2 linked regions of the Daphnia pulex genome follow. The protein of the gene in region 2 purifies or fractionates together with the protein of the main gene of each other region. This does not show direct contact. Links are inferred from orthologs where the notes say so. Each region holds a gene or a part of one and is shown on either strand. Other genes may lie near its edges. The genes, in order: microprocessor complex subunit DGCR8-like and ribonuclease 3-like.

The links.
Region 1: the proteins of ribonuclease 3-like (region 2) and microprocessor complex subunit DGCR8-like purify together in Drosophila melanogaster (affinity purification with western blotting; 4 studies listed by BioGRID, with this or other methods). This does not show direct contact. The link is inferred for Daphnia pulex from reciprocal best matches to the Drosophila melanogaster genes drosha and pasha.

Annotation. Positions count from the first base shown.
Region 1 is NC_060024.1:13,485,168-13,489,443, forward strand, and holds the start of microprocessor complex subunit DGCR8-like, read right to left. Parts: upstream 3,017-4,276; 5' UTR 2,603-3,016; coding exon 2,326-2,602; intron 2,261-2,325; coding exon 2,141-2,260; intron 2,067-2,140; coding exon 1,924-2,066; intron 1,861-1,923; coding exon 1,598-1,860; intron 1,533-1,597; coding exon 1,248-1,532; intron 1,182-1,247; coding exon 1,066-1,181; intron 996-1,065; coding exon 790-995; intron 726-789; coding exon 622-725; intron 560-621; coding exon 403-559; intron 328-402; coding exon 133-327; intron 105-132; exon of another isoform or gene 27-104; coding exon 1-26. Other genes in the region: RNA-binding protein 1-like, read left to right, coding at 3,569-3,777, 3,842-3,985.
Region 2 is NC_060020.1:4,125,847-4,130,279, reverse strand, and holds the start of ribonuclease 3-like, read left to right. Parts: upstream 1-1,396; 5' UTR 1,397-1,738; intron 1,739-1,802; coding exon 1,803-2,776; intron 2,777-2,845; coding exon 2,846-3,112; intron 3,113-3,178; coding exon 3,179-3,467; intron 3,468-3,561; coding exon 3,562-3,959; intron 3,960-4,031; coding exon 4,032-4,304; intron 4,305-4,372; coding exon 4,373-4,433.

The sequences.
Region 1 (4,276 bases), on a different chromosome or scaffold from region 2:
AAACGGCCAATCGGCTGCACTGCTTCCTATAAACAGAAAACTTCAATGAAAAAGTGCCATGTATCCAATAAATTTAATGTAAATAAATTTTCTGTTCCAACAAATATCCCTATCACAGCTGCCGTTGCGTACCCTCATCTGTCGTAACTTCAACATTTCTTGTCTAAGCTTGTTCAGAATGGCGTAATTGGGCGCGTTGACAGCTGCTTTGCTTTGGAGTAGAGTGATTTGCTGTTCTTCTTGTTTCTTCTCTTTTACTGTTTTAAGCGAATGTGAACCATAAAGACGAAGCAATGAACCCCAACTAGAAATGTGAGGATGCAGCGCCTTCTCCCAGATGAAGAAAAACAAATCGCAAAATTTAAAAATCTGAAACTGATGTTCAAGTTGATTACAATTCACCTGCAATATGGCCTGGGCTGCTCTTTGCTTTCCATCTCTTTTATTCTTGCATGGTACTTGAACTGTATGCTTTCCAACCGTCATTATTACTTCGTTTTTCTGATGTTTCAATGTTTTGAGCTCGTACTTGACGTTCTTATCGCCTAAACCAAAGTTTCTGCAACATTCATAATTATTGAAAATCGTTCAATACGCTAAAGAGAAAAACTGTTGAATCACCTTTGAAGGCATGTGAGGAGGATTGCGTAAGGGGATGGTTCGCTCGTTTTTGCACACAGTTCGGCAACGCGAGGGTCTTCTATTCGAATTTCGTTGAAAAACTGCTTTACAATAAACGGTAAGTAACACCATTCAATGCATCTAATAGCAAAATTAAATGCAACGTACGGATAGATCTAAGTCAGACTGATGATTTGGTCCCTTGTGACCTGGTTCCGCCTCGTCCAATATTTTTTCCTTCATCTGTGGAATAAGAACTTCTAGTGTCGCTTTCGCTGCTTCCGCCTTGGCGGCTTTCTTACTCGAACCGACCCCAGTACCGTACTGCATTCCATTAATCAATACCGTAGCACTATAAGGCGTTGCTGCATTCTCTGTCGAACAAAAATTACCCGATAAAACAATGAAAACAAAAATCGTTGCATTATGGGCAGTCGAATATACCAATTTCTTTAAATGTATAGGCAGGTTGCTTCTTAAGGGCATGTTGAACGTATTCATGGAGGATGCAAACGTAACTTTTCCCTGCCGGATTCATAATCCATTCCCGTCGCGATCCACTGTGAGATTTACAAACAAGAAATTGTTATCACAATTGAAGCCTTCAATATATAATGTTTACTTACCCATTAGCTCCACCAGCAGCACCTTGTCCTTCGCTTTGGGAGGTCGGATCGTTGTGTGTTGCCGGAATGGAATGTCCGATAGGGAAGGTTATAAGTTTGGTCCCTTTAGGTAAAGTTGGTCGACCCAGTTCAGCCGTCTGTGACAATTTAGCATCGTCATCCTCAACAGGGCTTTGGCTTGAGCCAATCACTTGTTTCTTATCCTCATTCAAGGAAAGACCAGATTGGGGGTAAATCTGTCGTTGTTTCCGCAGTTTGGTGTGCTTTCTCCTAGCTGCCCATGTTCTGTATGAATTTTTTAACGATGAATGAATGAGTAGGTATTAATAAGATTTAAGCAAATTACTCACTTAAATCGCATAAGGCGGACGGTTTTAAAATCAAATCGTTTGGAGCAGTATTCGCGCAGCTGAACTCCATTGAGAGAATGTGCTGCCTGATTCTCTTGGACTGATTCGATCCGAGCACAGGGGATATCAGGGGCAACATGAGCAGTACCATCTGCTGCAGTGTTAGCTGAGGCCTCTAATAGCTCTTCGGATTTCTGTTCTTCTTTCTCCTTGGCTCTTTGGTAATGTAGGCAAGGTACGGCGCTAATTGGCACTGCATGTTTCTAAAGATCGGAACTCGGGAGTTTAAATAGAAACAAAAAAGTAATGTTTAATTTAAAAATTACTCTGGCACTTCCAGGTCCAAGGAAGTAAGGCTTAGCAAGGGTGCAAACCCGTGTAGGTTTGTGAAGGTAGATAGGCATTCCACTGTTGTGTGTAACTTGGACCCAATTTTCAGGCAAAACTTCGAAATGGTTCTTACCCTTTTCTTAAAAACACAAAATAAAAATTAAAAAACTTTTTTAAATTAAATGTTTTTAAGGAATAACCTGAAAGTGTTACCTTCAAGAACAATTTTTTCTTTTTCTTCATATGCCATACTTGCATCCCCATTACCAGATGGCTTGGAAGAACCATCTGATTTTTTGAACTTTTTCCTAGATTTCATTTCTTCTGGTAAACCTTAAAAGTTACAAGTTACAGGTAAAAAATATCCACAACAAATGTCATATAGTTTGTAAAGTTACCTTCTTCCAACATAGCATCAATTTCATCTTGTTGTATATCAAAATCTTCTTCACTGTCTGCTTCATTGGAACTGCTGAAATCACTCTCTGAATTTTCCTTACACTCATCGTCATCATTAGCGTTGCTTTCAACTATTTCATCTAATACATGAAACTCTCTCATATTACTGAAATCTTTGTACAGTCCATCTGCGTCATCTTCTTCGGGATCAATATCATCCACTAGTTGAGAACCTTCCAAAATATCTTTCATCTCTTCCATTTCAAATTCTGTCATGCACAGAGTAGAAACCAAACTTAAGATAAGGTGTGGAATTGGAAATCCACAAATAAAGTTAACTGGTCTTAATATCTATGAATTACAATGTGTAAATGGAAGAATGAGCATCTACATCATAGGCCTTGTCTTCTGAGAAAATCAAAATCGAACACACATCAATAGCATTCGGGAAGATTTTCCTCAAACTTGGCAAAGCAATGATATAGTGCTATCGTATTTCGACGTGACGGATGAAGAACCGCTTTTATTTGTATATAATTGGATTTATATTAGCAACTATAGTTTTAAAGTAGAATGCCAATATTAGTTCAAAACTTCAAATCAAAATAATAATTTGATTCAATAGAATCGTCAAAGGATGAATAACTCGAGTTTGTTTGTAAAAGATTTCTAAAAAAATATGGCTTAGCAGACGAACTTTTTTCGAAAATCAATCTGTTGTTGCCTCGTCTACAACGCCATCTAAAGACGATCTAATTGTAATAAAAAATTCTAATATAAATCTGATAAAAATATCCTTGATTAAAAATTGCACAATATTCCAAATACAAACTTAAAATCATACTTTTTTGTCTTTTGCAAAAATGTTTTTGTTGATTTTGTTGCCGCATGGCAGCGCTGATTTTCCATTTTGTTGACAGCTTTATGACGTAGTCAGTTTTCACTCCGCTTCAGGTTACTCTTAATCTAGCATCTCGTTGAAAACGATACTGAAACCAAATTTGCTAAAGAAAATACATTCAAAATTCCGGAACAAGAAAGGTAGTCACAACATTCTTCTTTATTGTTGTTTGTTAGTTCATTTTTGTGTATGCAATTGTTTTTCTGTGCATTTCATTAGAGATGCTTTTTATGTTTTTGGTGATGCCTTTGGTCGGGCTAGCCAAGCAAGATGGCGGTTAATCGAGCATAGTTATTTTCAAACCCAGATTTCAACATCAAAATTTTCATTTCCTCTTTAGAATGTCGCGTCATCGTGAATGGGATTTGAAATGCAAAGTCTATGTTGGCAATCTGGGCAATAACACAGCCAGAGGTGACTTGGAAGCTTCATTCAGCAAATATGGAGCCTTGAAAAATGTTTGGGTTGCCCGAAATCCCCCTGGCTTTGCATTTGTTGAGTATGAGGATCCCAGAGATGCTGAAGATGCAGTTAGAGCCATGGATGGATCGTAAGAAACCAAATTACATACAATGGTAATTAATTATGTAAAATTAATTATTGACTTCTCGTAGGAGGATTTGTGGTTCTCGTGTGAGGGTGGAGATGTCTTCTGGCAGAGCCAGAGAGAGGAATGGACCCAGAGGAGGAGGTGGTGGTGGTGATCGCGGAGGTGATCGCCGCGGAGGGCCCCGTGGCGGTGCCGATTTCCGCGGAAGGTACGGTTAAAAATAATAAATTCTAACTTTTTTTTTTTACTTTTGAATTTCAATCAAATTGATTATTAAATATCAAATTTTATATATATATATATCGGAGCTGCTTATTTAAATCAAAACCTATTGCTTTCACAGGATTTTTTCATTTGATTTACTACCCCACTACCCCATCCATACAGCCGTAGTATTTGGTTGAAAAAAAAAAAAAAAAATAACATACCCCCTCTTTGTTTCTGGTTAACTGCTGCGGCACATGTTTGCCTGCCAACAACCACAAGTCTCTCCCCTTGT
Region 2 (4,433 bases):
TACTCACAATGAATGGGAGAACACTGTTGGAATAATTGTTTGAACACGACTCACCCTAGGGGAAGATAAAAAATAAAGAATTCTTCTTTCAAATGTGATAAAGTGGCCACCAGTCGCCACCATCCTTTTAAAATGATTTGATATGGTTTACATGCATCTCAGTAGATTTCCTGGAAAATGGCGATGTTAACGTGAGATATTAGCAATTTCCCAGTTTGCATCACAAGAAGATTAGTGTCTAGAAATTAATTGTAGGTAATTAATGAGGTATACCATTAAGCTAATTGCTCTAGATAGAAATGACTCAAATGAGAAGTTTGGTAACAAAAAAATCAAAATGGTTTCTTTGCAAGGAGAGGTCGATTCCGACGCCATATTTCCCTTATCTTGCTGTGAACGTCGTCCTTAGCAACTTTACACAAATCCTTGTTTGCTTAAAAAGTTGGACGTTTCTAGAAAAAAAAGATACTTGCCTTCTCCCAAGCAATCAATACAACTCAGTGTGGTCGGATAAGGACCGAGAAGAGCTGGCCTTATTTTGCTTCATCACCCTCAACTTTTGATCTTGGGTTTGCAAAATCGATGGCGTGCGGCAAGTTCGTACAATACCAATAGTTTGGAGGAGAGTGTGTCCCCAATACTATCCATTCTACATACATTGAGTCTAAACAATACATGAATGATACAGCATCATCGATTGGGAGATCGACGAGAGCAAAGGACAATACATTCAGTCAATATAATCGAAACGCATGGTTCCTATTGGATCGATGTCTATTGGATCAAAGGGAAATGACGATTTTAGATAATGCTTCCGTCCGCTTCCGTCTGAGCAGAGCATGTGAAATTTGATCATCCAGTTGATGAAACTACAAGAGACACTCGCGACAGAGAATTCCAATAATCAATATGATGAAGAAATATAATATAGTTACTGTATATCAGCGATCAGTTGCAAACGCACATGAGCGCACTGATGACCAATAAGGCAATAACATATCGAATTATCAAGGGATTCCCCTAAAAAAAAACAAGTGTAATTACGACTACTATATGTTCTGGAGCGTTATAGGTAATCTTAATCTTAATTAAACGACCAACGACAAATAAGTGCAATTTGCTTGTGAGGAAATTTGGTACTATGGCGCAACCTTTTTTTTAAATAAACGAGCGTAACATAACTGACCTTTGAGTTTTCTTAGGATTTAAAATAGTATTAAAAAGAATAGCCTCACGCTCGATTGTTGATGGGTCTTTCACTCTTTCTTTCAATTTAGCTCACACAGCCTCACTGTAGTATTCAGACACACCACAAGGAGCGCTGTATGTCTGTACTCTTAGGAGTTGTGGATCAGTGTTAGGGCCTTTAATTGTATCTCAGCGAAAGTCGAGGCGGAATTTGGAGTAAGTTAACCGGCCTCATTTTCTAAATTTGTGAAACACATTTCTTGAATGTTTTTTTTTCTTTCAACGTGTGTCACCTAGTATTAACTTAACTCGGTATACAAGCTAACGGTACAAAAGCTAGAATTCAAGAAGTCCAACAGAATCAGCAATTTGTTTCGATTCTCCTATTAATCCTATTAATAATACGTCGATGTTTTAGAAATGAAGCCTGTAGAAATTCTCGCTAACTTACATCCAGCTTTTACTTTGTAAAGGTTGTCAGGGGTTGTCAGACCCAACAAACGTGACAGTCTCATTGTTGTTTGACCAACAAAACAAAAAGATTTTTAATGTGAGTTTTCAGCAATCAATGTTATTTTTTATTTGATTTTGAATGCCCTTCTTTCTTCTTATAGATGGATGGTCACAATAACCAGCAACCACCGTTTCCATTGTATTATGGATACCAATATGCTCAGCCTCAGCCCAACAATTTCCCTCATGCAATGCAATATAGTTTTCCTCCTCCCCCATTCCATGAAATGAATTTTCCACCCCCTATACCTTATGGGATATACCCACCACCACCACCACAACCATTTGCAATTGGCCCACATGCACAACAAACAAGTTACCCACCAGCAATTTCCCATTCTTTTGTGCCAAACTATCCTCCATTGAATCAGTATCCCCAGGCTGCCCCGTATCTCTCAGCCCAGCAACGTCCATCAGCTTGCAGTTCTATGCCCACAAGTAACACTCACCCACAAACTAATAAAGTTTCAGGATCATATTCAAGTCATAATTCCACATCGAAAAGACCTTTACCTATTAAATCAAGCCAAAAGCCTCACTCCAGTTCTTCATCTTCTACAAGAACAGAGTATAAGAAGTCACATCAACATTCTGCTCATGAGGATGAACCTATCACCCCACCGGACGAATATTCTAGCCTAACTCCTGAAGAAATTATTGAAAATGAGAAGAAAACATGGACTCGTTGTGCGCCTGCAGATCTGTTCTATGCTCGGGATCTGGACAATCCTAAATTGATGCGTGGCACCGACAAATTGAAAGCTACTATTGATCAATTTCGCATTAAGCTGCTAGAGCGTGGCGACAAAGCTCGTACAATGCAGCCCAAATTTGATTACCCTCCCCGTAAAACAAGGAGACACAGTACGCAGTGTGGCGGTTCTTGCAAGGATAAATCCAAAAAGACTTGCGAGTCCGATTCAAGTACTTCTGATTCTTCTTCAGAGGAGGAAGACGAAGTTGATCTAGTTCTTCAAGAACTGGAACGAAAGAAACAACATCCGTCAAGACTTCACCCTGAACTGTGGTTCAATGATCCAGGAGAAATGAATGACGGTCCTTTGTGCCGCTGCAGGTAAAGAAAACATTTCCATTTTATTTCTATTTATTTTCATAATAAAATAAAAATCTTGTTTCTCTGTAGTTTCAAAGCACGTCGGACTGGTATTCGACATGGTATCTACGCAGGAGAAAAATCGTCTATGATATGTGACCGGAATTCTAACAACGGTGACATTTTGCATCACTACCGAGTGACCATTTCCCCACCGACAAATTTTCTCTTAAAGAGACCGACCGTTATTCATCATGATGGACACGAGTTCATTTTTGAAGGTTTCTCGCTTTTGTCTCACTACCCACTAGATAAAGTGCCTACCTGCAAAGTCATTCGATTCAACATTGAATATACGTAAGTGTCCCATATTTTTCATTTCGATCCAACAGACATCATGGTAATATTTAATTTTCGGTATAGAATCGTCTACATTGAAGAAAAAGTTCCCGATAACTTTACAATTCAAGAACTTGAATTGTTTAGTCACTATCTATTCCACGAGTTACTTGAGTTGGTCGACTTTAACCTCCATGCAGCTGGAGATACGAACGGTTGTCCGCAATTTCATATCCTACCGCGTTTTGTGAGAGACTTACCTGACCACGGCAAAGAGATGTTGTCGATGAACCAAGTGCTACAGTATCTAATCCAACAGAACGTTCCAGTGATTGACGAAACAGAATTGGGTTATCAACTTAAACTACCCCAGGTACGGTTTTATACTGCCCTAGTTTTGTGTGTTGACATTTTTACATTGGTTGAAATAAATGTTCTAACTGTTTCCTATTTTTTACGGTTTCTAGCATGATTGGCAGAATATGGCTGATTTTACAAAAGGAATGATTGTCACGAAGCCAGGTTCCAAGCCGTGTTCCCTCAGGGTTGACCAGCTTGATCGCGACCAACTCCGGATGGATGTCATCAGCTACCCGGAGATTGTCCATTTTGGCATAAGGCCACCTCAACTCAGCTACGCAGGCAATCCCGAGTATCAAAAAGCATGGCGAGACTACGTTAAATTTCGCCACCTGCTAGCCAATATGCCGAAGCCGTCATTTGAAGACAAGCGCAAATTAGAGGCAAAGGAGAACAGACTCCAGGAAATGCGACTCCAGAATAATATGAAGCGCGATGTAACGGTCGCTGTTTCTAGTGAAGGATTTTACCGAACCGGAATTATGTGTGATGTCGTCCAACACGGGTAGAACAAATTCTCCACTTACTTTTTAACTCTTTATTTATATGTATTTTTATTTTTTACCTATTCCTTTAGAATGTTACTCCCAGTGCTGATTACGCACTTACGCTTCCACAAGTCACTCGATGTTCTGGAAGACAGGATCAAATATCGTTTCAAGAATCGATATTTGCTTCAATTGGCTCTTACCCATCCTTCGTATCGTGAAAATTTTGGAACTAACCCGGACCATGCCCGCAACTCTTTAACCAATTGTGGAATACGTCAGCCGGAATATGGTGATAGACGCATTCACTACATGAACACACGAAAACGAGGAATCAACACATTAATCAACATCATGTCCCGGTATGAGATGTTAACAGTTTTAAATGCTTTCCATTCATCTCTGTAACTAAATTTGATTTCGTTAACAGCCTTGGCAAGAAGCAGGAGACAGAATCTAGTATCACTCACAATGAGCGACTGGAATTCTTG